Saccharomyces cerevisiae S288C: one gene and its partners. The protein of the gene in region 1 purifies or fractionates together with the protein of each later gene. This does not show direct contact. Each region holds a gene or a part of one and is shown on either strand. Other genes may lie near its edges.

Evidence for each region.
Region 2: the proteins of POB3 (region 1) and RTF1 purify together in Saccharomyces cerevisiae (affinity purification with mass spectrometry; 4 studies listed by BioGRID). This does not show direct contact.
Region 3: the proteins of POB3 (region 1) and TOP2 purify together in Saccharomyces cerevisiae (affinity purification with mass spectrometry, with the first as the bait; 3 studies listed by BioGRID). This does not show direct contact.
Region 4: the proteins of POB3 (region 1) and HIS1 purify together in Saccharomyces cerevisiae (affinity purification with mass spectrometry, with the first as the bait; 2 studies listed by BioGRID). This does not show direct contact.

Annotation. Positions count from the first base shown.
Region 1 is NC_001145.3:132,376-139,386, reverse strand, and holds POB3 (FACT complex subunit POB3), read right to left. Parts: upstream 3,888-7,011; coding exon 2,229-3,887; downstream 1-2,228. Other genes in the region: ERV41 (Erv41p), read left to right, coding at 1-324; ITT1 (RBR-type E3 ubiquitin transferase), read right to left, coding at 443-1,837; DAK1 (dihydroxyacetone kinase), read right to left, coding at 4,158-5,912. UniProt on the Saccharomyces cerevisiae protein: Component of the FACT complex, a general chromatin factor that acts to reorganize nucleosomes. The FACT complex is involved in multiple processes that require DNA as a template such as mRNA elongation, DNA replication and DNA repair.
Region 2 is NC_001139.9:39,505-46,865, forward strand, and holds RTF1 (RNA polymerase-associated protein), read left to right. Parts: upstream 1-1,993; coding exon 1,994-3,670; downstream 3,671-7,361. Other genes in the region: glutamate--tRNA ligase GUS1, read left to right, coding at 1-1,645; TAD1 (tRNA-specific adenosine deaminase), read left to right, coding at 3,803-5,005; ankyrin repeat-containing protein ANK1, read right to left, coding at 5,148-5,693; karyopherin KAP114, read left to right, coding at 5,941-7,361.
Region 3 is NC_001146.8:454,292-464,174, reverse strand, and holds TOP2 (DNA topoisomerase 2), read right to left. Parts: upstream 6,472-9,883; coding exon 2,185-6,471; downstream 1-2,184. Other genes in the region: TCB2 (tricalbin), read right to left, coding at 1-1,764; Rho family GTPase RHO2, read right to left, coding at 7,032-7,610; NST1 (Nst1p), read right to left, coding at 8,045-9,883. UniProt on the Saccharomyces cerevisiae protein: Control of topological states of DNA by transient breakage and subsequent rejoining of DNA strands. Topoisomerase II makes double-strand breaks. Essential during mitosis and meiosis for proper segregation of daughter chromosomes.
Region 4 is NC_001137.3:262,809-269,226, reverse strand, and holds HIS1 (ATP phosphoribosyltransferase), read left to right. Parts: upstream 1-3,441; coding exon 3,442-4,335; downstream 4,336-6,418. Other genes in the region: FCY2 (purine-cytosine permease), read left to right, coding at 1,114-2,715; GIP2 (Gip2p), read left to right, coding at 5,529-6,418. UniProt on the Saccharomyces cerevisiae protein: Catalyzes the condensation of ATP and 5-phosphoribose 1-diphosphate to form N'-(5'-phosphoribosyl)-ATP (PR-ATP).

The DNA of each region.
Region 1 (7,011 bases):
AAGAAATTGGGGGCAGAAGTGGATACTAATCAATATTCTGTTAACGATTACCGCTATTTGTACAAAGATGTCGCTGCTAAAGGTGATAAAATGCCGGGCATCTTCTTCAAATACAATTTCGAACCATTATCCATAGTAGTTTCTGATGTTCGTTTAAGCTTTATACAGTTTTTGGTCAGATTAGTGGCAATCTGCTCATTTTTGGTCTACTGTGCTTCGTGGATTTTCACACTACTGGATATGGCTCTTATCACCATCATGGGACCTAAGTGGTCCTTGCGTTATCAGCCAGATGATAAAACTAAGGGTATTTTAGATAGGTAGATATGTAAAAGAAAAGAGAATGCAGTATACCCAAGATAACGTTTCATTTTCATCTGTATAAATTTCATGACAATAGATTATAAGAAAAAGTGTGAGACTGAAGGCAGAGCGATCGCACTCAAGTTTCTGTGCCAGGCATACCTTCAAACAATCGTCCATAACAGCCTGAATATGCTTCTCTAAAATGTTCATAAGGGTCCTCAGGATAAAGTAATACTCCGCATATAAAACAGAACAGCGTCCCGCATACTTCGCATTTCATTTTATTGCAACCTTCACTTCTTTCTACAACTACCTTACACTTTGGACATCGCTGCAAATTCGAACCCTCTTTTTTAATCGCTAAATCTAACATTTTTTCAGCAAGGTAATCATTGACTTCAAGTTCTAATACTCTTCTCCCATATTTTGCCTCCAGTTTCCGCTTTCTCTCATATGAAGTAACGGTATCATCTAGATATTCCTCAATAATATCGGTCGATAACGAAACTTTCTTGCCACATTTATTGTTGTAACCATGCCAGGCATGCAAGCAGTCAAAGCAAAATACAAAATGACATTTTTGACACTGAATCATCGCATCATCGAGGTCTTCTTTTGTGCACCAACTATCACATCTTCGACAAGTCACACAAGCATACGGACAATATTTTGAGAGTCTTGTAGCCGCCTGGTTGTAGAACATTTTTTCGTATCTTTCACATAGCTCTGTATCGATAACCTCTTTTAAGAAGGACACTGGAATCAAAGGTGTAAACAATGCCTTCAGCATTTTTTTATAGCTCTTGAAATCTTCTAGTTTTAATTCTTTGTATTCGCATTGTGGACATCTTACACTGGATATTCGGTTTTCCTGAATCATTGCAGTGAAATAAGATTTGGCGCATCCTCTGCAAAGATAGTGTTCTACATTCGCATTTTCACATGGCAATTTGATCATTCTAACACCCTTTTCCATTTCCATACAAATACAACAATGGTAGTTAGATCTGCTCACTTTTTGGAGGGTGGCTTCCTCACTTATCTGCTTAAACAAGTCATACTGATCCTGTGTCAGGCACTTTCTTATTCCATTAGGGAATAGTAATATAGCTGTATCATCTATAAGAAACCCAAAGATGAGGATAAGGATGGAGGTAAACGAATCCGCGAACTCAATACTCATATCTACAGTTTCTTCAACGAGTCTCAGCGCTTTGTCAATTAACATCTTCTTTTCATCTGTTGATATCCATAAGGATTTGATATCCATAACAACACACCGTCGAATGTCCGGATAATGACAGCTATATATGGTGAACTCCACGCATTCATTAGATAAGTTTGAAAGTAACATATGTTGCTCGCCGAACTCAATATTTACATCGGCCAATAGTGATATCTTGAACAGTAACTTTCCGTTAATTCTTTGAGGGAATTCACCTTCCTCCTCTACTTTTACCGATTTCATTTCCAGTTCTGGGTACATATCTCTTAATATTTCCAAATCATTTTCAAACTGAGTCAAAGCCATTTTACTCCCTGGTCTTTCATCAGTTATATTAGTTTTCTGTAATTCGTTATTCTACACCATGACATAACTTACTGGTGACTAAATGAGAAAAGCAAAGTCCCTTTCTCTTGCTTGTTATTTATTTTTGAACCCTTTACACTATTTGTCTTTTTTTCATCACCCAATCGAAAAGTTGAAAGTATTTTTCAAGCATTGAAAGGGTAGAGGAGATTAACAAAACATAAATATTTTGCAAAACAAAACCAATTTCAAATAAATGTATAGAATAACACCAGTAATTAAGAGGTGGTGTCTTACACTCACCATGTCATGATAATATCAATTGGCAAAATATATTAGTTAGTTTTTACACAATATCAATAAATTTAACTTATACAGTCTAAAATTATTACTATTCTACCTTAGGCTTCTTCGAAGGCCTTTCTTCGTCGCTACCCCCCTCAGCATCACTTAAAGCCGCATCTGAATCAAACTCTTCTGCAACTTCGTCTGCGTCATTATCAGAGCTGACCTGAAAATCCTCATCTACTGATTCATCATCTTCACCAGCGGAACCCATATTAATATCCTCTTCGTCACTGTCTGAACCTAAAGCGGTTTGTAACCTTTCTTGTACCTCTCTATCTTCATTCTTCACCCTTAGGTTTTTAGACTTTAGGAATTGTTCCAATAATTGCTGCTCTTCCTTACTGATGTTGGCAAAAGTGGTAGAACCTCTATTTGAACGCAGTACCACTTCCAAATCAAACGTCCTCGATGACGTAGAAGTTTGTCCTGCTCTTGAAATGTTTACCATGCTAACATCACTGAATGGTATGTACAAAGTTGGCTTAGTTAAAAAGAAGAAAGCGTTATCTAATGGATACAAATAACCTTCGTTTGCTTTGAAAGAACATGAAACTGCACACTGATCATATTTGGATTTATATTCTCCAGGAACAATGACTCTACGGTCAGTCAGACCTTTTAATACATGACTTAAAACTATATGAGTTTTAGCATCATATTGTTTTTTCAATTTATCCTTATAATTTTCCTCATAATCTTCATCTTCTAGATTCAATTGCACTTCTGTTTCCTCATCTTTCTGAAATTGTAAGACAAGAAAGGGGTAGGTGGTCTGTCCTTGACGTAAAGGAGGTTCAATTGCCAAAACCAATAAGTGATGGATATCATCTGCCTTTGGTAACGAAACAATTCTTTGTATTTGACGATGTTGCAATTTGTATTCATAGGTCTTACCCCTGAGTCTAATGGAGTTCTTGTAAATATCGATATCATAACGACCTCTTGGCGTGGTAAAAAAGACGTCTTGGAAGGAAACTATTGCATCACCAGCGACTTCCCCGATGTCTGCCTTTTCCTTTAGTTCTTCATAGAATGCTTCTGCCATACTCTTTTCCTCTACTGCCATTTGTACATCTTCTCCTTCAGCACCATCTTCTTTCTTTGGTACGACCTCGTTGCTTGACTCTTCCTTTTTGGTCATGTTTTCATCGACGTTTGTTTGAATAACACCAGGAATATAGAACCTCATCTCTACCAATTCGTCACCGGCTGGTTGGTACTCTTCATCTTGAATATTAAATTCTATTCCTACTTCATTTTTAGAGGTCAAATTTGTATTATTTATTCTAGCATAAGGAATTTCAAAAGTTGGTTTACCATTTAAAGCAAAAACCATTTCATTCCTGGCAAGGTCTGTCTTACCCCAGTTCCAACCACGTAAGGAATGTTCTCTTTGCTCTACCTGAATATTAAAACGGCGATGGAAATCATTCTTGATTAAGTTATAGTCATCCTGAGAAAATCCATCTAGTTGGATAACACCTTGATTTTTGGTATTTATCTTCAAGTCGTAACCCCTGCAGCCCCTACTCCATTGGACGGTAGATAATTCTGTGGCTGGTAATAAAAATGGTTTTCTTGCCTGATTTGCTGCAGAGCCACCACTGGTACTAATTTTCCACCCTAACCCAGAATCAGCAATACGGAATCTACCGCTAAATTTAGATTGGTTCAAGTAAATTCTATCAAAGTCGGTACTCATAATTCTTGTTCAACAATACTAGATTGTTCCTTCACTTGTTAACGGTATTTCCTTCTTGTTCTTACCACCGATTCAACATCTAGCTACTCTCATACTATGTATATCTCTGACACTCGCGTTAACATTTCACCAGTTTAACGATTCGTTTCGCGTTGAACCGGGTTATACAATCGTTCTTCGCGATGATAATAACAATAACTCCAAGAAAAGTAAGCTTTTTCTATATATATATATCATAAGTATCTTGATATGTATTCGTGAGCCAAGTACTTACAAGGCGCTTTGAACCCCCTTCAAAAACTCACATAGGCCTACTGCACCAGGATCTTCTACTTGAGATGAATCGCCGACATACGAAGCTCTGCCAAATTTGGCCTCGAATGTAGCAGTGGATTTAGCACCTTCCTCTGCAGCTTTTACCGCCTTATTGAAATCCTTAGATGCAGTAAATTCTTTAACGAATGGTTCTAAAGCATCAATCATGGTGGATGATCCCTTCCTTGCCTTTGTATATTTGTATAAAGTATCCAATGCAATTCCGAGTGACTTAGCCACAATTTCCTTAGTGACGGGTTCATCCTTTGATTTACAAACCTGAATTAATCCGTGTGAAAAACCCGACAAAAGAATAGAATATAAACCACCAGAAGTACCTCCCATTGAGCCTTCAATGAAATCTGAAATTTGGGCAACCGCCTGAGATAATGAGTCCTTCGACAGCTTGTCAAGGTTTTCGGTGATGCCTTTAACTCCTGCCACTAAAGTGTAACCACAATCACCATCACCAACTTGATTGTCTAGTTCCGTAATGTGCGGTTCGCTCTTGATAACTTGTTCAGCACCACTCTTCATCCACTCAGCAAACTTGTCAAAGTCATAGGTACCGACGGCCTTTGCTGTTACTTCATTATGTAACAAGTCATCGTTAACAGATGGGGCAGAAGTCTTTTCAAAATCTGCAATTGGCCAGCCCGGTGCGTTCGTAAATGCGTTCAACAAGTCTAGTACTGATTTGATCTCCTCAAAATCAGATTGCAAAGCCTTTGTAGCCTTAGTGGCGTTTAGTAATGTGATACTGAACCCATTACCATTGAAGGAGGTCATCAATGTGCCAGCAATTGTTTGAACCGGGGTTATGTTGTAATTTTCCTTTAAGAAATCCGTAGTTTTGGAAGTGATAGAACTAATAACAAAATTAGAAACACCGCCGAGATTGTTAACTAACAAGACAACTTCATCATCTTCATCAAACTTTACAAAAGCTCTATCCTTATCGTTTGGATCCAATAGTTTTGGTAGCATATACTTGGAGATCAAGTCTTCGGTAGAAGGAATAGGGTCTAAAACTTTCACACCAGGTTCGTTATGAATACCCATACCCAATTCCATTTGTTTTTCGTTTAATTCACTTTCGAATTTCCTGCCAGGAACTTTACAATGGTCTAAAGAAGATCCAATGGTCACCAAATTGTCGTTGATAATTTTAGCCACTTTAGCTGTACCGTCTAAGCCATACTTACTAGAATATTCTTCTGCGAAGGCACCTACAATCTTATGAACCAAAACGGTACCTGCCAATGCTCTTCTACCAACCATACCACCCTTTTCTCTGCCAACTGCAACATCATCACCTATGACAGCAACGCGGCAGTTAATACCCAAGGCTCTTGCTCTCTCAGCGGACAGACCAAAATGCAAAACATCACCTGTGTAGTTCTTCACAATCAATAAAACGCCAGACGCATTTTCATTGACTAAACGGATTGCATTTAAAATCTGTTTTGTTGAAGGGGATGCAAAAATTTCGCCAACCACGGCGCCACTCAACATACCCTTACCAATGAAACCGGCGTGTGTAGGTTCATGTCCACTACCACCACCAGAAATTAATGCGATCTTGTCGGAATCGGTCTTTCTGAAGAGAATTTTTTCTTCAGGGACCAGCGTAATGGAGGGGTTAGCAAGGGCAAACCCTTTGAGACTTGAATTGACTGGATCTGTGACTTCAAACGATTTAGCGGACATTTAAAATTTAGTCTTAGATATAGAATGTAATCTTATTCTTTGATGTGTTCGTTTACAGTTGCTACAAATAGTGACTACTTGTAGCGAAGTTGAAGTGATTTTCTCCTTATATATTTATTCATCAGTTAGTTCGACAGACGCTCGCGAGGTGGCCACTCTTTCAAAATGACGCAATTGGGAGTGGTTTGATCTTTCTCCCTTAGAAGCCAAATTGGCAAGCACTCACTCCGGGCCAGATTTACACCATGTTTGTAGCGCATTTAAATCAGGAAATGCATTATATTTCACTCTCTCGTCTAGCGAGTCTTAATGTTCATGACGGGGGAGCTTTATGCCTTGTTTTTTATCACAGCGCCAGACAATTGACAGTAACAAATAAAGGCAAAAAACCCTTGAATAGCACCAGAGGTGTTTACTGATTGCTTTTAAAGTACGTATAAAACTGTAAAATATAGATTAAATTCGACCGCCATTACTTTAGAGTTGAAATTGGGAAGCCGTATATTGCCATTTCAGCCATGCTTCTATGGTTCCTAATGGAAGCATGAATGACATACGCAATTTGATGAGCTTGAAAAGGGCGTAATTGACAAGCCAGATTTGAATCTAATCCCTTGAGAAATTATCTGCAAGTAGTAAAAAAATCTCTAAAAGATGTATAATTGAGTCGCCTAGAGACCTCATTCATCATGATATTTGACACCTTAATTTTGATAGTAGCGGGTCAGTCATTAAGAAGAAAGTGAGCTGGGGCTAATCATCAACGATCTCCCATAATTACGTACGTCAAAGACAACACGTTGGCAAAGGTAAGAAGAACGTAGTGCGTATCATGCTTACGGTGAATTTCACCCTTTTTTTCTGTTATTCGTGCTGATCCACGGGGTATTCAATTGAAGATATTATCTTTATCATCATATCGGTAAGCGTCTGGGAGAAGCAACTGGTCAAACGTTTTCAAAAACCATTCTTTAAACAACAAACCGATCAATGTTCTTGATCAGCTTATCAATCTATCCGATCTCCTGCGTTCAGCGTGACCGCCACACTTATGTCTAGATAATTTAACTTCCAGTTGCTAATTTCCCGCTAAAGTATC
Region 2 (7,361 bases), on another chromosome or scaffold:
AGCTCACGATTTCTTGAGCAAATCTTTACTAGAATTAAAGAAAAGTGCTAATGTGGGTAAGAAGAAGGAAACTCACAAGGCTAACTTTGAAATTGATTTGCCAGATGCCAAAATGGGTGAAGTCGTCACTCGTTTCCCACCTGAACCTTCTGGATACTTACATATTGGACATGCCAAAGCTGCCTTGTTGAACCAATATTTTGCTCAAGCTTACAAGGGTAAGTTGATTATTAGATTCGATGACACCAACCCATCGAAGGAAAAGGAAGAATTCCAAGACTCTATTTTGGAAGATTTGGATTTATTAGGAATCAAGGGTGATAGAATAACCTACTCATCTGACTACTTCCAAGAAATGTACGACTACTGTGTTCAAATGATCAAGGATGGTAAAGCTTACTGTGACGACACTCCAACTGAAAAGATGAGAGAAGAACGTATGGATGGTGTTGCTTCTGCCAGAAGAGATCGTTCTGTTGAAGAGAACTTAAGAATTTTTACCGAAGAAATGAAAAACGGTACTGAAGAAGGTTTGAAGAACTGTGTTCGTGCCAAGATCGATTACAAGGCTTTGAACAAGACTCTAAGAGATCCTGTCATTTACAGATGTAATCTAACCCCTCACCACAGAACCGGATCAACTTGGAAGATCTACCCAACTTATGATTTCTGTGTCCCAATTGTTGATGCTATTGAAGGTGTTACCCACGCTTTACGTACCATTGAATATAGAGACCGTAACGCTCAATATGATTGGATGTTACAAGCTTTGCGTTTGAGAAAAGTCCATATTTGGGATTTCGCTCGTATCAATTTCGTTAGAACCTTGTTGTCTAAGAGAAAGTTACAATGGATGGTTGACAAGGACTTGGTCGGAAATTGGGACGATCCAAGGTTCCCAACTGTCAGGGGTGTGAGAAGAAGAGGTATGACTGTCGAAGGTTTGAGGAACTTCGTCTTATCCCAAGGTCCATCCAGAAATGTCATTAACTTGGAATGGAACTTGATCTGGGCTTTCAACAAGAAGGTCATTGATCCAATTGCTCCAAGACACACTGCTATCGTCAACCCAGTTAAAATCCACTTGGAAGGCTCCGAAGCTCCACAAGAACCAAAGATTGAAATGAAACCAAAACACAAGAAAAACCCAGCTGTGGGCGAAAAGAAAGTCATTTACTACAAAGACATTGTTGTCGACAAAGATGATGCTGACGTCATCAATGTTGATGAAGAAGTCACTTTAATGGACTGGGGTAATGTCATTATTACTAAAAAGAATGACGATGGTTCTATGGTTGCCAAATTGAATTTGGAAGGTGATTTCAAAAAGACCAAGCACAAGTTGACTTGGTTAGCTGATACTAAAGATGTCGTCCCTGTTGATTTAGTTGACTTCGACCATTTGATTACCAAGGACAGATTGGAAGAAGACGAAAGTTTCGAAGATTTCTTGACTCCTCAAACAGAATTCCACACGGATGCCATTGCTGACTTGAATGTTAAGGATATGAAGATTGGTGATATCATCCAATTCGAAAGAAAGGGCTACTACAGATTGGATGCTTTACCCAAGGATGGTAAGCCATATGTCTTTTTTACCATCCCAGATGGTAAATCTGTCAACAAGTATGGTGCAAAGAAATAAGCATCACATAAGTAATGTATATACATATTTATGTTATTTCTCAACCAGTACCTTTTGAACAATATCTTTTATAAGTGAATGGTTTGCTTTCTGAACCAGTCCTGTGTTCGCTGCCTTGAATCATGTAAGGATAGCAGCTTATGACATGTATGTCTACCTATAGAACTTTGACTGTAAAAGTTTATCATCCATTACCCGGTTTTGTAATTTTGACAATTTATATTTTATTGAAATTGGTTCAAATAGTGACTACGAGCTGGAAGGAAAATATTCAAAGTTACAAAAGGTACTTGAAGGATACCAAAGTTTGTAATTGTATTGCACTAATTTGTTGAGAGCACTATAGAAATGTCTGATTTAGATGAGGATTTATTAGCCTTGGCTGGTGCCGATGAATCCGAAGAAGAAGATCAAGTTTTGACAACTACATCTGCCAAAAGGGCAAAAAACAACGACCAATCTCTTTCCAAGAAAAGGAGAATTGAAGTCGGCAGTGTAGAGGATGATGATGAGGAGGACGATTATAACCCTTACTCTGTAGGAAATGCAGACTACGGTTCCGAAGAAGAAGAAGAAGCTAATCCTTTTCCCTTGGAAGGAAAGTACAAGGATGAGAGCGACAGAGAGCACCTGGAATCCTTACCTGAAATGGAACGTGAGACTCTATTATTTGAAAGATCTCAAATCATGCAGAAGTACCAGGAGAGGAAACTTTTTAGAGCACGTGGAAGAGATATGAAGGAACAACAACAGAGAGCCAAGAACGACGAAGATTCCAGAAAGACCAGAGCTTCCACTAGATCAACCCATGCTACTGGGCATTCTGATATCAAGGCTTCAAAACTTTCGCAATTAAAGAAACAAAGAGCGAGGAAAAACCGTCACTACAGCGATAATGAAGACGAAGACGATGAGGAAGATTACAGGGAAGAAGACTACAAGGACGATGAAGGGAGTGAATACGGGGATGATGAAGAATACAATCCTTTTGATAGAAGGGATACATACGACAAAAGAGAAGAAGTGGAGTGGGCTGAAGAGGAGGACGAGCAAGACAGAGAGCCTGAGATTTCTGATTTCAACAAACTAAGGATCGGTCGTTCATTTGTCGCAAAATTTTGTTTTTATCCCGGGTTTGAAGATGCAGTCAAAGGTTGTTATGGGAGAGTCAATGTTGGCACAGATAAACGTACCGGCAAAACTTCTTACCGTATGGTGAGAATTGAGAGAGTTTTCTTGCAAAAACCTTACAATATGGGTAAGTTCTATACTAACCAGTATTTCGGTGTTACCCAAGGTAAAGACAGAAAGGTTTTTCAAATGAATTATTTTAGTGATGGTTTGTTTGCCGAAGACGAATACCAAAGGTATCTCAGGGCATTGGATAATTCGCAAATGATTAAACCTTCTTTACATTCTTTGAGTAACAAAACGAAAGAGGTTATGGATTTTGTCAATACACCATTGACTGATAAAACTACAGATGAGGTTGTTCGCCATAGGATGCAATTCAATAAAAAACTATCTGGTACGAATGCAGTCTTGGAGAAAACTGTATTGAGAGAAAAATTGCAATATGCCAAGGAGACTAATAATGAAAAGGACATTGCAAAATACTCTGCTCAGTTAAGAAACTTTGAGAAACGAATGTCTGTATACGAGAAGCATCATGAAAATGACCAATCTGACATTAAAAAACTAGGCGAGTTGACCTCTAAGAATAGAAAATTGAATATGAGTAACATCAGAAATGCAGAGCATGTGAAAAAAGAAGACAGTAATAACTTTGATTCAAAGAGCGATCCTTTCAGCAGGCTAAAAACCAGGACCAAAGTTTACTATCAGGAGATACAAAAGGAAGAAAACGCAAAAGCTAAAGAAATTGCACAACAAGAGAAGCTACAAGAAGATAAAGATGCTAAAGATAAGCGTGAGAAAGAGCTACTTGTGGCACAATTCAGGCGCCTTGGTGGGTTGGAGCGCATGGTTGGTGAATTGGATATCAAATTTGACCTTAAGTTTTAGTAGGCAGGACAATTTCAGTGTTTGTAAAAATATATTTATATTTATATATTTAAATATACTAAATAAAAATAATACTATCATCGTTGTGATGCAAAAAAAAAAAAAAATGAACAGAAAATAATAGTGATGTGAATGGTTTCGTGCCAAGGAACAAGGCCATGCATAGTAAACCTTCTCACTATGCCAAGTGAGGATAAATTGGGTGAAGAGATATCAACGAGGGTGATTAATGAGTATTCAAAACTAAAATCTGCCTGCAGACCAATAATTAGGCCTTCAGGTATCAGAGAGTGGACAATATTGGCAGGTGTTGCAGCTATTAACAGAGATGGCGGTGCGAATAAGATAGAGATACTTTCCATAGCTACTGGTGTGAAGGCTTTGCCAGATTCAGAACTACAAAGAAGTGAGGGGAAGATTCTGCATGACTGTCATGCAGAAATACTGGCATTACGAGGTGCTAATACAGTTTTATTAAACCGTATTCAAAACTATAATCCATCAAGTGGTGATAAATTCATTCAACATAATGACGAGATACCTGCCAGATTCAATTTAAAGGAAAACTGGGAGTTGGCATTGTACATCTCGAGATTGCCCTGTGGTGATGCCAGCATGAGTTTCCTGAATGATAATTGCAAAAATGATGATTTCATCAAAATAGAAGATAGCGACGAATTTCAATACGTCGACCGTAGTGTGAAAACAATATTGAGGGGACGCTTGAATTTCAATAGAAGAAATGTCGTTAGGACTAAACCAGGAAGATATGATTCCAATATCACTTTATCTAAATCCTGTTCTGATAAATTATTAATGAAACAACGGTCGTCGGTACTGAATTGTTTAAATTATGAACTCTTTGAAAAACCTGTATTTTTAAAGTACATTGTGATTCCTAATTTAGAAGATGAAACGAAACATCATCTAGAGCAATCATTTCACACTCGTCTACCGAATCTAGATAATGAAATTAAATTCCTGAATTGCCTCAAACCATTTTATGATGATAAATTGGATGAGGAGGATGTTCCTGGTCTAATGTGTAGTGTCAAGCTCTTTATGGATGACTTTAGCACCGAAGAAGCGATTCTTAATGGCGTGAGGAATGGATTTTATACCAAATCATCGAAACCACTGAGGAAACACTGTCAATCGCAAGTAAGCCGGTTTGCACAATGGGAACTATTCAAAAAAATAAGACCAGAGTATGAAGGAATAAGCTATTTGGAATTTAAATCTCGTCAAAAAAAGAGAAGCCAGTTAATTATCGCAATAAAGAACATTTTATCTCCCGATGGTTGGATACCCACCAGAACGGATGATGTGAAGTAATATATATATATATTGTTGAATATGCGTATATGCACACTTTTTTGTTAGTGCACCTTAAAGAAATATATACACAGTAGAAATATCTATATATCCAGAGTTCATCTATCTTTCCCTCTCTGTGGTATTATCATCACATATTTTATCATTTTTTATCATCTTCTTCGTCATCGTCAGATGGACCATCATCTATCATTTCCCCATCCTCATTGTTATCACCTGATCCATTGGTACTATCAATCGCTAACTCGGCACCCTGCAAAAGGTCAATTAATTCATCCAGTTCATCACCATGAACCAAATCAACTGGCTTTTGATTGTTATAGTTTCTCACCCTAGGATCCGCACCCACTTCAATTAAGTTTCTAGCAATAAAAGTTCCATGCTCAGGCTCCTCTTGACTGTATCTGACAGTAACATGTAACGGAGTGTCGCCATCAACGTCGTTTTGTGGGTCTATTTCGATTTCACCGTCTTGATCGAGAATCTTGTCGAGAACTTCCCAGGATCCATACTTACAACATAAATGTAACGCTGTATTCCCCAGTGGTTCTTTGGATTCGTTAATTAGCTTTGCAATCTTCTCAGGATCATTATCTAAGCTATCAAATACGGTCTCCAAAAGATCCAGATTGTTTCTTCTAGCTGCATCCAGCAATTGTTCACTTAAAGAAGCACCTTCAGTATTCATGATCAAAAAAAGAAACTAATTTATTTTGTGAAAAACTTCGACTTCTTTCACTTATGACTTTTTTCACTGGGATTCAGAAACTACCTCACAGGACCCCTATATAATGAATTTATTGTCAACCTTTCTATCAACGCGTTATACCTTGGGTATACTAGGAAAAAAAAAAAAAGATACATATGGATGTATATGACCTGCATACACGATCCGAAAATCTTGAACGTAATTGTAACACTATCAACACATTAAAATGGATATTAATGAATTGATAATAGGTGCTCAATCAGCTGATAAACACACTAGAGAAGTTGCGGAAACGCAATTGTTACAGTGGTGTGATTCCGATGCATCTCAAGTGTTTAAAGCGCTGGCAAACGTTGCCTTACAGCACGAAGCTTCTCTAGAATCGAGACAGTTTGCTTTATTGTCGTTAAGAAAATTGATCACCATGTATTGGAGTCCAGGATTTGAATCATACCGTTCTACATCGAACGTCGAAATAGATGTTAAAGATTTTATCCGAGAAGTGCTACTGAAATTATGCTTAAATGACAATGAAAATACCAAAATAAAAAATGGTGCATCTTACTGTATTGTTCAGATATCTGCGGTTGATTTTCCTGATCAATGGCCGCAGCTTTTAACAGTTATTTATGATGCTATCTCTCATCAGCATTCATTAAATGCGATGTCTTTATTGAATGAAATTTACGATGATGTCGTATCTGAAGAAATGTTCTTTGAAGGCGGAATTGGCTTGGCGACAATGGAGATCGTTTTCAAAGTACTCAATACAGAAACTTCTACTTTGATAGCCAAAATTGCTGCTTTGAAGCTACTTAAAGCATGTCTTCTACAAATGAGCTCCCATAATGAGTATGATGAGGCGTCACGAAAAAGTTTTGTCTCCCAATGTTTAGCTACTTCTTTACAGATATTGGGACAATTGTTGACTTTGAATTTTGGAAACGTAGATGTTATTTCTCAGTTGAAATTTAAATCCATTATATACGAGAATTTGGTTTTTATTAAAAATGATTTCTCTAGAAAGCATTTCTCAAGTGAATTACAAAAACAGTTCAAAATAATGGCAATCCAAGATCTGGAAAACGTTACCCATATAAATGCAAATGTCGAAACTACTGAAAGTGAACCCCTTTTAGAAACAGTTCATGATTGTTCTATTTATATTGTAGAATTTTTGACTAGTGTTTGCACTTTGCAATTTAGTGTTGAAGAGATGAACAAAATTATAACATCTTTAACCATTCTTTGTCAGCTAAGTTCTGAGACAAGAGAGATATGGACAAGCGATTTCAATACATTTGTATCGAAGGAAACAGGCCTAGCAGCATCATATAATGTTAGAGATCAAGCCAATGAATTTTTTACTTCATTACCCAATCCTCAACTTTCCCTAATTTTCAAAGTTGTTTCCAACGATATAGAACACAGCACGTGTAATTATTCAACTTTAGAATCTTTACTATATCTCTTACAGTGTATTTTGCTTAATGATGATGAGATAACTGGTGAAAATATCGATCAATCTTTGCAAATTTTAATAAAAACGTTAGAAAATATCTTAGTATCACAAGAAATACCAGAATTAATATTGGCGCGTGCAATTTTGACTATTCCCAGAGTACTAGACAAATTTATAGATGCATT
Region 3 (9,883 bases), on another chromosome or scaffold:
CTTCAAAACAAATCTACAGATAGTCTTTCTACGGTCTGTTACCACAGAATAATAATCTGAGTTCCATTTCAAATGGGCAGTTCTTTTCTCTTTCTTTGTGGTCATCACCAATTCTGCATTGACATACAACTCTGCAAAGACGAATTTTTTGTCACTTAGTTCATCCAGTCCCTTGAGTTCGCGAATAGTAATTTTGGTGATACCTGTATTCATATCCGGTAAAGGCTCCTCATCACCGTTCAGTAATTTTTTTGGTTCAATAGTGGGGAAAAATCGCAAATCAAATGTCAACTCACCGACAGGTTTAGAATTTCTTAGGAAATGTACCTTTTCATTTTTGTGATAGTGATTTGCATGTAACTTATTCAAGTTGAAAATTACTGTACCCATTTTTTTGTCGCTTAAGGTTTCGCGTTTGTCATATACGGCTATTGTAAGTGGATCAGTAAAAGATTGCAACAGAATGTAAATGGATTCATTCCAAACAGGATTAGCAGAATTTTTAAAAACCTTAGTTTTACCGACTATTTTACCAGAGAGCTCAAATGTCAAGTATGGGTCAACTGTTTTCTTGATCATGCCCACAAGTTTTCTTAATCCATGGGCATTTTTGACTTTGATTTCCAAAACACCTATAGGTAAGCCAGTCTTGGAAAGAAGTTGTGGTATATTAAGTTGCAAAGAGAAAGGTGGGAGTAAAACAGGGCTCAAGTATTTAAATGCCATTTTTTGAATCAATCTCATTAAGCCTGGAATAGCCAGGATTTCCCAATTAAAGACGGAGTTACCCAATAAACGACTAATAAAATCAACTTCAGGAACTTCCAATAACTGAATATTTATAGTTTCAACAAGAGGCAAAGTTGTCATCAATTGGAAACGAAATCTAACAAAAACTTGAAAAAAAATATCAGCAACTGAAACAGGTATGTCCATTCCGAATATCTTTGCCTTTAATACGACATTGGAATTTACGTAATTCCTGCATTGTTTTGCATCAAGATCAGACATGTCGTGTGGAGTGAATGATAGACATACGTCCATGACTACGACATCAGATTTTGTATTTTGGAATGTCTTTATGGCATCAATTCTTGGAGGCTTCACACCTAACGTAAATTGATCCAGCCAGATGGCTTTTATAAACTTTGGAATTGCCACATTTTCAGATAATGCAGTATTTGTACCATCGACAATTTGTTGGGAGACAGAAGGTTCGATAATGGGCCAGTATTTATCTAAAAAGGTGTTTAACCATTCGACAGATTCATAATCACTAGTAATTTTCTCTACAGTTTGTTCTTTCTGGGCTAAATCCCTTAACGATTCCCTATATTTTTTGGACGAAGTTCTATATAACATTCCTGTGGTTAGCATCACGATAAGGACGGACGCGAGAGAGAATTTAAAATAGCCCAGCACAAAGGAACATAAACCAGCGATGATGAGAATAGCGACTTCATGATACCAATCACCATAGAATTTATCTGGTAAAAGGTTCCCCAAAAAAGTGTCCTTGTTTACGTCCACTAAAAGGTCTTCGGAAGTTAACTCGTCCTTTTCCTCCCAACCACCAACTTGTTTCCAACCAACGTACGATGGATCTTGTTTTTCTCTTACTATTGATGTACCATTGGTTTCAACTTCAGATTTTATTGGAACAGCATCCTTCACAACATTCTTACTTTCCACCTTCGTGGCTTCATTAATACCAGGCATGGAGCTTATCTGGTCCGTTCGAGTTTTCGACGAGTTTGGAGACATTCTTTATAGATGTCCTTTTTTTTTAATGATATTCGTTAAAGAACAAAAAGTCAAAGCAGTTTAACCTAACACCTGTTGTTGATGCTACTTGAAACAAGGCTTCTAGGCGAATACTTAAAAAGGTAATTTCAATAGCGGTTTATATATCTGTTTGCTTTTCAAGATATTATGTAAACGCACGATGTTTTTCGCCCAGGCTTTATTTTTTTTGTTGTTGTTGTCTTCTCGAAGAATTTTCTCGGGCAGATCTTTGTCGGAATGTAAAAAAGCGCGTAATTAAACTTTCTATTATGCTGACTAAAATGGAAGTGATCACCAAAGGCTATTTCTGATTATATAATCTAGTCATTACGATCGACTTCTATTTGTTTCTGATATAAACATATAAAAAGAATGGCGCTTTCTCTGGATAAATATTATTCAATCCTCTTCATTGAACGAAACATCTGATCCTTGGTTTTCCTCTTCATCATCTTCGATGAAACTGTCGTCAGATAATTCTAAAGTTTCAACGTAAGATTTCTTAGGAACCGACGCAGCTCTCGACGATCTTTGTCTCCTTGATCGTTGTGGTATAGCATCATCTTCATCTTTATTGCTATCTTCCCGATCAGTGTATGAATCTAAAATTTCTAGGTCGCTTTCACCAGATAGTTCCACAACTTTTTGTTGTTTCCTGACTGGCTTCTTGGCCAATTTAGGTTTTACAGCTGTTTTTTTAGCGGTTGTTTGATTTTTTTTAGTGGCTACATCGTCCTGTTCTGGTGTATTTTCCTTCGATGTAGCGGAAGTAGAACCCATTTTGTCAAAAATCGTGCTAATTTTTTTAAACTTGTTCGAAATCTTACTCAGTTCGCCCTCATCTTTATCTTCTTTCTTTATGTCGAAAATAGAAGAAGAACTCGTGGAAGAAGGAGCATTCTCTTCTTCTTCTGTTTTTGTTTCTGAAACAGAAGGCGTTTTCTCTTTTTTAATCTTTGTAGGCGCCTTGCTTTTGGTTACTAGTTTTTGTTCTAACAAAATCCTTTCAAAATTCTTATCCTCTAACTTAATTTTTTTGCCCTTTCTAGCAGTACTTTTCTTGTTTTTTTTTGATGGGTCGTAGTCTTCGTCGTCAACAAGCTTTCTTTTTCCTTTACCTTTCGTTTTGCTCCCTTTATTGGGAACATTACCACCGCGAGCTTCTGCATCTCGTTGCAAAAATTCTTGATATCCCACCTCAAAAGCCTTCAAGTCAGTGTTCCATATATCTTTCGCGGAAAGTTTTAACAAGTTTTCCAACTCTGTCTCCTTTTCTTGTTTTTGTTTCAACAGCTTTTGATATCTTTCCTTGGTCAATGACCATATTCTCATTCCTAATAAATATTCATATGTGCCATATAGTTCTTCAGGACCATTTATAACATTTTCAGTATCTTCGTGTGAACTTTCTTCATCTTCTTCATCAGAAGTTGCGCCTTTTACGTCGTTAATTTGTTCAGCTATCTCATCGTTAGGACTTCCATAATATGGTTTACCTTCCTTATTAAATCTGGGGAACCCTAAATTCTCAAGTTCTTGGATAATAGCGTTCCTAGGCTTATTGGTGACTGTTAACTCCTTTTCAATAATCATTTTAATAAATTTTACTTGGAAAGAGTATTTCTCTACCTCCCACTGTAACCTTTCGCTCATATGGTCTTTTCTTTTTTGATAGTATTCTAGTCTGACGTAGTAAAATTCGCTTAATATTTCATTCACGGAATTGTACTTCTTGATTTTCCCGTGAGGATCAAATGCGACCATATTCATCAAACTTATAGGCGAAATTAGTTTAAATCTTTCATAAAAACCTATTTTCCTTGTTTTAGCCATTTCCTCAGGTGATAGCGTGATTATGAATTTGATGTTATCATCGTGCTGCTCCTCCATATCTTTGATCCAGGGTTTTATTTTATCGTTACCGCTTAAACCTAAAAGTAAGTACTCCTTTATAGTCGATGTCCAAGTTCTGGCTGGCAACTCAGTTATTTCTAAGACGTTATCTCCAATTTGTTCAATCCTACCGTACATTCTGTAACGCAGAGGCTCAATTTCTTCAATAGTACCGGTCCATCCCCTAAACCACGGATGCATTTGCTCAAGCTCCTCGTCGTTCATTAAATGTCTTATATTCTTTATAATTTCCAATGGGTTGAATGGAGGAATGTAAGTACTCCAGCCAGTGCCAATACCCTCAGCACCGTTAACAAGAATCATAGGAAGAATTGGTAAATACCACTCTGGCTCCACTGTTTTCTCATCTTCTTGTATATATTTGTATAATGGATCATCAGCAGGGTGAAATATCTTACGAGTTAATTTGTTCAATTCTGTGTAGATATATCTCGCTGCCGCTGCATCTTTACCACCAGTGGCTCTTGTACCGAAAGCACCGTTAGGTAATAGCAAGTAAATATTGTTGGACCCAACAAAGTTTTGGGCTAGCCCAATAATAGTTTGTGCCAATGACTGCTCACCATGGTGATATGCCGTACATTCGCTCACGTATGGTGCAAGTTGAGCTACTTTCAGTTCCGACTTTAAATTTTTTTTGAAACAACCATAAAGAACTTTTCTTTGGCCAGGTTTAAATCCATCTAAAACATTGGGAATCGACCGTATATTATCGGCCAAAGAAAAAAGGATTAATTCCTTATTAATGAAGTCGCTAATTGGAATCTCTTTTAAAGTAGGGTCTAAAACAGTACCAGGTTCGTATTGTCTCAGCCATTCTTTACGGTCATCTGCCTTTTTCTTGGAGAAAGCTAAATCAATGTAATCTTTATCATTACCCTGCAAAGAATGGAATATTTTCAAATGTCTGTCCAAGTTCGAAAAATATTCTCGGACTTCTTGTGCTAGAGAAGTCCCTAATCCTTTATAATACTTCTGCTTCCAAGTAAATTTGTGCGATTCTTCCTCTCTCCATTTTTCATAGTCCGGCATATTGTAGAATGCAATAGTGTTTTTTGTTGGTTTAGTGATGGAAACTTTGATGATCGGAGTTATGAATTCAAGTAAGAAACCTTGGATATCCAAAAGACCAGGAAATGAGCTTTCTAAAAAGTTTATAATTAAACCTTTAATATGCGAACCATCATGATCTTGATCGGTCATGATCATAAGATGCCCATATCTTAAAGATTTTGTATCTTCATATTTCTTGCGATGTTGTAACCCCATAATTTTTTTAATGGCTTGAATTTCCGCGTTTTTTAGTATCTGATCAGCACTAGCTTCTCTAACATTCAGCATTTTACCACGAAGTGGATAACAACCATAATAATCTCTACCAACAACAGCTAAACCTGCAACAGCTAATGACAAGGCGGAATCCCCTTCTGTCAGAACTAAAGTACATTTATAGCCTTCTTTTGTACCGGCTTTGTTGGCATCTTCCAGTTTAGGGTAATTAGTAATTCTGCTTTTCCTTGTACCATCAGACTTCTTTAGCGCATTTTCTTCATTTGCGTCGGCAATTTCAAACATTCTTGTAGCCAAATCAGTTTTCATAATCTTATTAATATATTCAAGAGGAATCTCACAACGGGACCCAAAATCTTTGACTCTTGTTGTCAGTTGCTCTTTTGTTTGTGAGGTAAATGCAGGATTCTCAATCAAACAATTAATGAAAATGAACATATTATTTTTAATCTGAAAAGACTTCACACTTTTTTTCTTCTTTTTCTTCAAAATTTCTGAAATTTTTTTTACAATTTGGTCTGTTATGTAATTGACATGGGTACCACCCATGGTAGTTGCAATGGAATTCACAAAAGAAATTTGTTGAAAAGAGATATCAGAAACCGCAAAAGCAACTTCCCATCTGTTGTTTATTCTCTCATAAAGAATAGTCGGGATATCAGACTTAGCGGCACCGTCCTCACCGTTATCTAGTTGTCTTTTTTTTTCGAGTGATTTCAAGTAGAGTTCAACATAATTTTTGAAATTTCTTATCTTTAAGGACTTGCCATTCAGATAGACATTAATGTCACGAACAGAACCATTGATATCATAAACTCTTCTTCGCATCACTCCTAAGATATCATTATCTAGCTCTTTCATTCCGAATCTGGTTAAATCCGGCTTAAATGTCACCTTTGTATATGATGGACCCTTCTTGTAAGATGTTATTTTTGGGGGGTGGCAAATGCTCATGTTATTTTCCCATTTTTGAACATATTTCTGGCCAACATTTAGATCTGCAGTTTCTAATATGAATTCAGTGGAAAATATATTACAAAGCTTAGCACCATAACCGTTTCTACCACCAGTGACTTTCTTCTCATCATCATCATAATTGGATGATGTCAACAAATGACCAAATATCATTTCAGGAATATAAATATTCTCCTTGTTATGAATCTCTATGGGAATACCTTTTCCATCATTTTTCACTTCTATAGTATGTTCCTCAGCATGTATGTTTACATCGATTCGTTTCATCGATGGATCACGAACTTTATTATCTGCCGCATTGACTAAGATTTCATCAAAGATTTTGAACAACCCTGGTACAATTGTGACATTTTTTTCAATCATGCAATCGGTCTCTTCATCGTATATCCATTGCAGCTGCTCTTGAGTTTCAACAGAACCGATATAAGTGTCTGGTCTTTTTAAGATATGTTCCAGTTGAGAAATTTTCTGATATTTATCAGAGGCGCTTACCGGTTCAGTTGACATGGTTAGCCGTGCTGGTCGTTATAAACTCCTTTAACTGAAACAGAAAGTTAAAATTGTCGTGGTTTGCTCTACGACGTGGTTGGATTATATGAAAGATGATCTCCTCTTTTCTTTTCTTTTTGTCTCCTTCGGCAATTCAATAATATGTTTACATTATACTGAAAAAAAAAAGACGCGTCCTACTGGCGCGTCTTTCACTCATCGCCTCGTAAGGAATTCGAATACAAATAGCGTAAATAAGTAAATAAGTATATAAACGAAAAATAATCAAACTAGGCAGTTCCGTTTAGCTCATCGGCGCAGTACCTTGAGCTATGGTTTGATGTGCCATTTTCTTATATCCGTCGGAAATTTTGCTTCTGGTAAAGGCTCTCGAATAAGAATCTGTAGGACATTAACGAACAAACATATCGAATGGGTTTGTGTTTTATACATGCACTATCGATAAGCCTTTTTAACTTATTCCATTATATCTATGAAATTTGATTAAAATTATAATACGGTATTGTTTTTCCCTCCCTTGCTAAAAAGATAATGTATCATTTCAGTGTAAGTTTTTTTTATAAAATTATGCAACAGTTAGCCCCTGGTTCCTTCTTCATAAGCAAACTGGTTCTTGTAGCTACTTCAAAGACATCATCCACACCCTCACCAGTCAGTGCACTACATTCCATGTATTTCTTGGCCCCAATGGCCCTTGCAACTTGTTTTGCATCTTCAATGGGAACCATTTCATCGGTAGCATTCTCTTTAAAATGGGCTTCTTGCCTCAAATCTTTTTTCAAGCCTACAAGAACGATTGGTGCGTCAGGACAATATCGTAATGCCTCATCCGCCCATTTCGTCCTTGCGTTAATTAGTGATTCAAAATTGTCTACAGCAAACCCAATTAATATTATATCTGCTTTTGAATATGAGAATGGACGTAAACGTTCATATTCCTCTTGTCCCGCTGTATCCCAGAGCGTTAAGGACACTTTTATTCCGTCAACTCTGCAATCAGTGACATAATTCTCGAACACTGTCGGATGATATTGTTCAGGGAATTTTCCTAATGTAAATACATATAGTAAAGAGGTCTTGCCACAAGCACCATCACCAATAATAACAAGTTTCCTTCTAACGGCCTTTTCAGACATAGTACGGGATCAAAAGCACAACCAAAGCAGAACGTTTCAGCAATTGATGTCTGCACACAAATCGTTTACAGCGGTATGCAAGGGCAGTTTAATTAAGACTTAATCTGGGGACTTTTGGTTCAAATTATCAGAATAACTACCTTTGGAGAGTTGCGCTTTGAATAATTGTTGTTGAACAATTGATATATGTTATACCTAAAAAAGAGTGTACCGAAGTCTATTATCATATTCACATTCCTGCGAAAAATGGAAATTAAATGCCGGGTAAGATGTATGGGGTGTCGCAGCCTCACCTCTAAAGCCACGACGGTAAGAAAAACCGACGCGTGGCTCACATCGAGTAGAGAGATGTACGATTGTTTAGTGTCTCTTCTGAAATTTCGTCGAATTATGTATGTATGTAAATATTTTTGGCCCTGCGTACCGGAGCAAATTTAAGACGTTTGCGTAGTTGAAGAGGCAATTGGAAAACTAGCCCTTGTGGAGGTATGAGGCCTTGACGTAAATGGTGTAGCAGTTGGATCGTTCAATCCACTAAAGAGTTGATTCAGCAACCCCTTTGAGTGGCCAGCGGGAGTTTGTCTCGCAAATCGAACGTGGGTAATGGATCCATTGTTATCAGTAAAGAATTCGCAATTGTAGGCTCCTTGCATGCTTATCAATTTGTTGATAAACGTCGAGTAATCCAAGTTAAGTCCTACTAAATTTTGGAATAGTGTCCCGATAGCAATGTAGGGGTTTAAACTATCTTGTGGGGAAATAGCTAAATAAGTATTGTAGATGCTATCCAGAATGTGGCTTTCATCCACTCCACTCGAAATTTGAGGGGATTGAAGGACGTTGCTAGTCAAATATGGTGAATTGTATTGACTGTTACTAGACCAGATATTTGATGCCATGAACGCAGGGCTATCTTGCGCAGTACTAGTTATATTGCGACCGGAAAGCTCGGATTTATTCATCATCGGAGTGGTGCTGCTGTCCCAGATAGAAGTTCGATTTGGAAACGATTCAACGCTTCCTAATGTAGGTGCGAGCAGCATACCGCTTTGTATACTGCTGTTGTTAAAGTTTCCTGCAGTCGACGGTCCCGAAAATGAGCTTTTTTGATCATTCCACACAGAACGCTGTGATGGGGGGAATCCTGATGATGAAAGTGATGTATCTGCGAACCCGGAAGAAGAAAGCATGCTAGTTAAAGTGTTCAACTCGTCGGTAAACGATTTACGGTGAGTACCACCATTAGGTAGTCCAAAAGATGGCATTGTAGCTTGAGGACTAGATTTATGGGCTTGTGATTCCATTTCTGAAGTTTGAATAACCGGTGGTTTACATGTAGGATTTATGGACATTGTATTTGTCAGACCACCCCAAGATGATAAACCAAAGTCATTTGGCAATAGCTTAGTTGGCGATGAATTATTATGCATCAATAGACTTGTATTTTCCAGAGTTTGTGAGTTCATTAAATAGTTGTTTTCAGTCTGTAAAGAAGATTTTGTAGCCAAGTCTAACGCATTCGGAATAGTTGTAGTTCCAAAATGGTTGTTTTGATTACCTGGCTGTGGCAAGTGTGATTGTTCCATAGCAGGCATCTGGTTGTTAGTTGAAGGAAGAAGTAGATCATGAACGTTAAAGCCTGTGGGTGAAACTGGTTTGGATGCAGCCACGCTATTAACCATTTTAAGTATTTCATCGTTGATACTGCAACTATTATCCTCTTGGTAGTTAGTCATGTTGGGATGTGATTGAGATGAAACAGGGTTGCCAACTCCATTCTCAGTAAAAGGTTTGGCGGAAAGTATGTTCGCAGATGTTTGTTCTTCGTTTAATTTCTGTTTTCTTAGCGCATCCTCTGCAATTAATCTTTGTCTCTCTTCTTCTTCTTTTTCTTTCTGTAGCTTTTCTTGTTCTAGCCTTTTCTGTTCTCTAATACGTTTCTTTTCTTCTTCCCTCTTGCGTTTTAGTTCCTCTTTCTGTTTCCGTTGTTTTTCTTGCATTTCTTCTCTCCGCTGCTGCTCTTCCAATCTACGCTTTCTCTCCTCGTCTTTCTTCCGTTTGGCTTCTTCAACCTTTTTCCTTTGAGCCTCTCGTCTTCTCATTTCACGCTCTTCTAATTCCTTCTTTAGCCTTTCTTTCTCTTCTTCCCTTTTTCGTTTTTCTTCCTCTTTAGCTAACTGTTGCAGCCTCTTCTTTTCTTTCTCTTTTTCTCTTTTTTTCTGCTTTTTTTCTTCCTTCTCTCTTTTCTTTCTTTTTTCTTCTTCTAGTTCTTG
Region 4 (6,418 bases), on another chromosome or scaffold:
CTGTCCAACTGTAGACGACGTAACTCTGCTATAAAAAAGACCTGTTCATATTTTATTTTTTTTTTTTCATGTGCCACGAACAATTTAATGTATGGGAATACAACTGCAAAAGAAAAAATCAAAAAAAGAAATCACACACCACAAACACCAAACATTATGCCAGAAGCTTTCGCCAAATCCTGCGTCGATTAATTTAATGTGAACACCACCTCAGATCTAACACTGATGAAAAGCCTTACAAATCTCAACACATCTTTTCCTTTATGAAGAAGAGTGCCTTGCACAACCATACATACAGGAACTTGATAAAGCCTACAGATAAAATCCAAGTGGAAAGTAAACAAAAAATCCTAGAGAATGCTCGCTGAAAAAAAAAAAGATGTCAAGACAGATTACGTCGTAAATTCAGCCACTTTCAACCAAGTTTCCGTAATCATATTAATTTCTGAAATTAATTAATCTAACGTATCTCATATCTTTTTTAAGTGATTTACCTGTGGAGAACAGCAAAGAGGTCATCCAAGACAGAAAATCGATGGATACTGGTCTTATTCGGTCAAAGTGACTGCAATACTCCTCTGCGGATTTGCTTAGTGTTAGAAAATCGAGCGGCATGTTTTCTTTTGTCACCAATGGAACGGCCTCAAGGAACTAAATATCAGTCGATTTTATCGCCTTTCCCGAGTGGGGGGCGTATTCGTACAAATTGACTCTTTTTCAGAAATGTCTGCCGCCCGCGTTCGGTCATTAATGCACAGCTTTATCGCGATTGCCATTGACTTCTACGTACATATAGTTGCTACGTCTTCGCCTTATCAATAAATAATTATGAGTCTTTAATTTCTTTTTTTTCATTGTCAGAATTTTTCATGTCCTTTTTTTTTTTTTTTTCTCGATGATCAAGATGTTAGGGAACCAACCAAGATAATGGTTTTAATATAAATATCCATTAAAAATATTTAGACAGTAAAATAGTGGTGAGTCTAAAACGCGTTGGAGGCATTTTTCTTTGAAATGTAGATAAGTAAGCTTAACTGTAATAGTATTCACAACAATATCCATATAAATTTCGCATATAAAACATCCTATCCTCTATTATAACGATTTATAAGAATGTTGGAAGAGGGAAATAATGTTTACGAAATCCAAGACTTGGAGAAGAGATCTCCTGTAATAGGCTCAAGCTTGGAAAACGAAAAGAAGGTAGCCGCTTCTGAAACTTTCACAGCAACTTCCGAAGATGACCAACAGTATATCGTTGAATCATCAGAGGCCACAAAATTATCGTGGTTCCATAAGTTCTTTGCCAGTTTGAATGCAGAAACAAAGGGTGTTGAACCAGTTACAGAGGATGAAAAAACGGACGATTCCATACTGAATGCTGCGTCCATGTGGTTTTCAGCTAATATGGTCATTGCATCATATGCTTTGGGTGCCTTAGGACCCATGGTGTTCGGTCTAAATTTTGGTCAAAGTGTTTTAGTTATCATATTTTTCAATATAATGGGGTTGATATTTGTTGCGTTCTTTTCTGTCTTTGGTGCAGAACTGGGCTTAAGACAGATGATTTTATCAAGATATCTGGTTGGTAATGTAACGGCAAGAATTTTCTCTCTTATTAACGTTATTGCTTGTGTCGGTTGGGGTATTGTGAATACCTCAGTATCCGCACAACTGCTGAATATGGTGAATGAAGGCTCCGGCCACGTCTGTCCTATTTGGGCCGGTTGTCTGATCATTATTGGTGGTACCGTGCTTGTGACTTTTTTTGGTTACAGTGTCATTCATGCATACGAGAAATGGTCATGGGTACCCAATTTTGCCGTCTTTTTGGTTATTATTGCCCAACTATCGAGATCAGGAAAGTTTAAAGGTGGTGAATGGGTAGGAGGTGCAACTACTGCAGGTAGTGTTCTTTCTTTTGGTTCATCTATTTTCGGTTTTGCCGCAGGATGGACGACCTATGCAGCTGACTACACTGTTTATATGCCAAAGAGTACAAACAAGTACAAGATTTTTTTCTCCCTAGTTGCTGGTCTAGCGTTCCCTCTATTTTTCACCATGATTCTTGGTGCTGCTTCTGCTATGGCTGCTCTTAATGACCCAACCTGGAAGGCATATTATGACAAAAATGCTATGGGTGGTGTCATATATGCTATCCTGGTTCCTAACTCTCTGAACGGATTTGGTCAATTCTGCTGCGTTTTGTTAGCTCTGTCCACTATTGCAAATAATATTCCAAATATGTATACTGTTGCTTTATCCGCTCAAGCTTTGTGGGCACCTTTGGCTAAAATACCAAGAGTAGTCTGGACAATGGCAGGTAATGCTGCCACTTTAGGTATTTCCATCCCTGCTACCTATTACTTTGATGGCTTTATGGAGAATTTCATGGATTCTATCGGTTACTACTTAGCTATTTACATTGCCATCTCATGTTCAGAACATTTCTTCTACAGACGTTCCTTCAGTGCTTACAATATTGATGATTGGGATAATTGGGAGCATCTACCTATCGGTATCGCAGGTACTGCTGCCTTAATTGTTGGTGCCTTCGGTGTTGCATTGGGTATGTGTCAAACCTATTGGGTTGGTGAAATTGGCCGCTTAATTGGTAAATATGGTGGTGACATTGGGTTCGAGTTGGGTGCAAGTTGGGCCTTCATCATCTACAACATCTTAAGACCTTTAGAATTAAAATACTTCGGTCGTTAGGAAGTAATGATTAGGGCGATCATTTCCCCGTGCACATTTCACGTCATGTATCATAGATGCAATTTCATGTAAACTATTTAGACATCTCATTTAATAAAAATAGCTACAAACTGTATTTTACAATATTAGTAACATATCAAAGATAATCTCTATGGTATATACAAAACTTCAAAAATGCCAAGACAATTTGCACGGCTGCGACCTAATTGAGACTTTGTGGCCTGCATATCAGTCTTACAATAAAAGCCAAAAAGAAAAAAAAAAAGTAAGAATGCACAGGTGACTAGTGGTTATGTGACTATGTGAACGTAAAGAGAACGAGATGTAACCCGGCAACCCGGCTAGAGAGGTTGTTTAGCATGCGAGGTATTAGACTCCTTGTCAAAAAATTAATTAAAATATTTATTAGTTAATTTATTAGTTGCAAAGTCATTGATAACAGCGTGACTCTTCCCGGAAATTCTTTCATTTCGGCATTTCGAAGCGAGACCGCAAAACACGTGTACGCACGTAGCCAACGATTGAAAAAAAAAGCTTCCAAGTGAGTCACCTCTACCGTTGGAACTTATAAAATATTTTTGCAGAATATACTCGCCTGAAAGTCCATTTATACGCAGTGAACTGCAAGTATTTACCGTCTAAACTTTGGCATTTTACTCCTATTAACGGTTTGAATCTTTGAAAATAGAAAAGAAAGGATAGGTTTCTAAAAAATTCAATAGAAAAATGGATTTGGTGAACCATCTAACCGATAGACTACTGTTTGCAATCCCAAAGAAAGGTCGTTTATATTCTAAAAGTGTTTCTATTTTGAATGGTGCTGATATTACCTTTCACCGCTCTCAAAGATTAGACATTGCACTAAGCACAAGCTTACCTGTAGCGTTGGTCTTTCTGCCCGCTGCAGATATTCCAACTTTTGTTGGTGAAGGTAAATGTGATCTTGGTATAACTGGTGTTGACCAAGTTCGTGAATCTAACGTCGACGTAGACTTAGCAATCGATTTGCAATTTGGTAACTGTAAATTGCAGGTACAAGTCCCCGTAAATGGCGAGTATAAAAAGCCAGAACAGTTAATTGGCAAAACCATTGTTACCAGTTTCGTGAAACTTGCTGAAAAATACTTTGCCGATTTGGAAGGTACTACTGTTGAAAAAATGACCACAAGGATAAAGTTTGTCAGTGGTTCCGTGGAGGCATCATGTGCTCTGGGAATTGGTGATGCTATTGTAGATCTTGTAGAGAGTGGTGAGACAATGAGGGCAGCAGGTTTAGTTGATATTGCCACCGTCCTAAGCACAAGTGCCTACCTAATAGAATCAAAGAACCCAAAGAGCGATAAGAGTTTGATTGCTACTATCAAATCAAGAATTGAAGGTGTCATGACCGCTCAAAGGTTCGTTTCATGTATTTATAACGCACCTGAAGACAAGCTGCCTGAACTGTTGAAGGTGACGCCTGGCCGTAGAGCACCAACCATTTCCAAAATTGACGATGAAGGATGGGTTGCTGTTAGTTCCATGATTGAGAGAAAAACGAAGGGTGTTGTTTTAGATGAATTGAAAAGACTCGGCGCATCTGATATCATGGTTTTCGAAATTTCTAATTGTCGTGTATAAGATAGAACAGAAAAAGGGAAGCCAAATCCCGATTAATTTTGTATTTTTTATAGGCAATAATTTGATAGAGTTCTATCTTATTCTAAGTTACCCCTCATGACTTCCCAAGTGTGTTTTGAGGTTATCTCTGTGAATATTTTTTCTTTTTTTTTGCTACTTCCCCAGGAAGTTAAATCTTCGTAGCATATTTGTCAGCTTTACTACCGTCTTCATGCTCATGAAACCTTCTTCTTCAACCCCCTTCATTTCTCCAATTTTCGAAAACTGGAGCTACCCATAAATATTCGGAGTTTTGTAGGTATTTTTATTTTGGAGAAAACCTGTACAAACTCTCCCCAGGGAGCATAGATTGGGGATCGTAACGCATAAAGCTGTCTAGAATGCATTTTTCCATGCTACGTCGATTTTTTGCCCGGAAGAGGCTGACGTAGCGCTGGAAGGTACCGACAACTATGCCTATTGTGGAGATGGGCGGCAAACTCCTGTCGCAGAGTGGGGGCGGGGAAAGGTTCTTTTTGCCGTGGAATGAAGCGCATAAAAGAAAAACAGTATGCCATATTAAGTCTTTTTAAGGGGAAAGGGGCTGCTACCATGAGGTCTTTTACCAAAAATGTGTATCAGCTACGCTTCTCAATGAAGGGGCCAAGAAGTTCGTTCTATCCAACAGGAAATATTTCGATATTGCAACGGTCTTTCTATATCTTGCATATTCTTCTTCAGGTTGAGTTCCTTTATATATACTGCATTGCGTAATAAGCAACACAGGGCCCATCCGTTCAACAGAAGAAAACTAAAGCTTTTCAAACATAGCCTTTCCAGTTCAGTGCATATTTATAGAAGGTAAACCTGCATACAATACGGTTAAAACAATAGGAACGAAAAGAAAGCTAGACGGGAAAGCAGTTACTAAAGGCAGGGTTGACGGGACGTTTAAAGAGAGAAGTCTGGTTTATAAAACCTTTTAGTAGTAAAAAAGGAAAAGAAACAAGGAAGGTTGGCATTCTGTTTGATTGAGGAGAAAGGAACCACATTGGACTTTTTTTTTTCTTTCTGTAAGGTATAGTTTTTAGTAGGCTGAACATCAAAAAGATCTCCGTTGTACTCAGAAACAAGTTTAATAGGAACGGGTACAGATATCTTGTCAAAATTTTATTCTTACAGCCCAAGTTTATTAGGATTTCATCAACGCAACAATGTATATAAAGGCAGAACAGAAACCCCAACAGTTTGAGAGGAAGAATGAAAAACTAGACAGAAATAAAAACCAGCAGCTACCAGATCTTGAAACAGATTTCAAGGGTTACAGAGTGAATTCGGACCTATACAACAAAGAACGAGATGGAAGTACGGAAGAGACTTTAAACTCTTTGAAGTTTTTACATAAACCTCAGAGAGTAACTCAAATGAGAGCGAACAGGTTCCCAGAGGAAGAAGTGCAAAGAAACACTGATTTAAACAAAAGAATTTTCTCCGCAGGGAATGATGAAAACGTTGATAATGAGAGCGGCTGGTCAAAAATTGCCGCTGCCAAGAATCACACTTCCGTAGAATCATTAAATGGCAGTACGAGACCCCCATTCAAAATAGAGCTGCCTCCCCTTTCCCCCAAATCCACCGTACCAAAATCTTTTCAAGCAGAATATCCCGAAGCTAAGTCACCTGGCAATGATATGAATTTTGAATATGATGAAGAAATTCTAATTCCATTTGCGCCACCTGTATATAAAAAGTCAGGTGAACTATTGAAGAGCTCATTGAAGAGAAGATCAAAATCATTACCTACAACCCCAGGTATAAGGAGCGGGAATGGTGTCCAAGCAAGAGACGGTAGTCCGATGTTGATTAGGAGTAAGAGTGTTCACTTTGATCAGGCGGCACCTGTAAAATATTTTGCTGAGGATGAAAGCCCTATAAACGTTAATAAAACTGAACAACACGATAATTGTCTAAGCTTTAAGCATAAGCCAGTGAATTTAATGGTGGACCCGGAAGAAGAGACAAAAATGCTATCATCTGGATTAGAAACGACATCCATAGATGATGACTTGACGACAGTTGCGCCAAAAGGCTTCGCACATCCTGC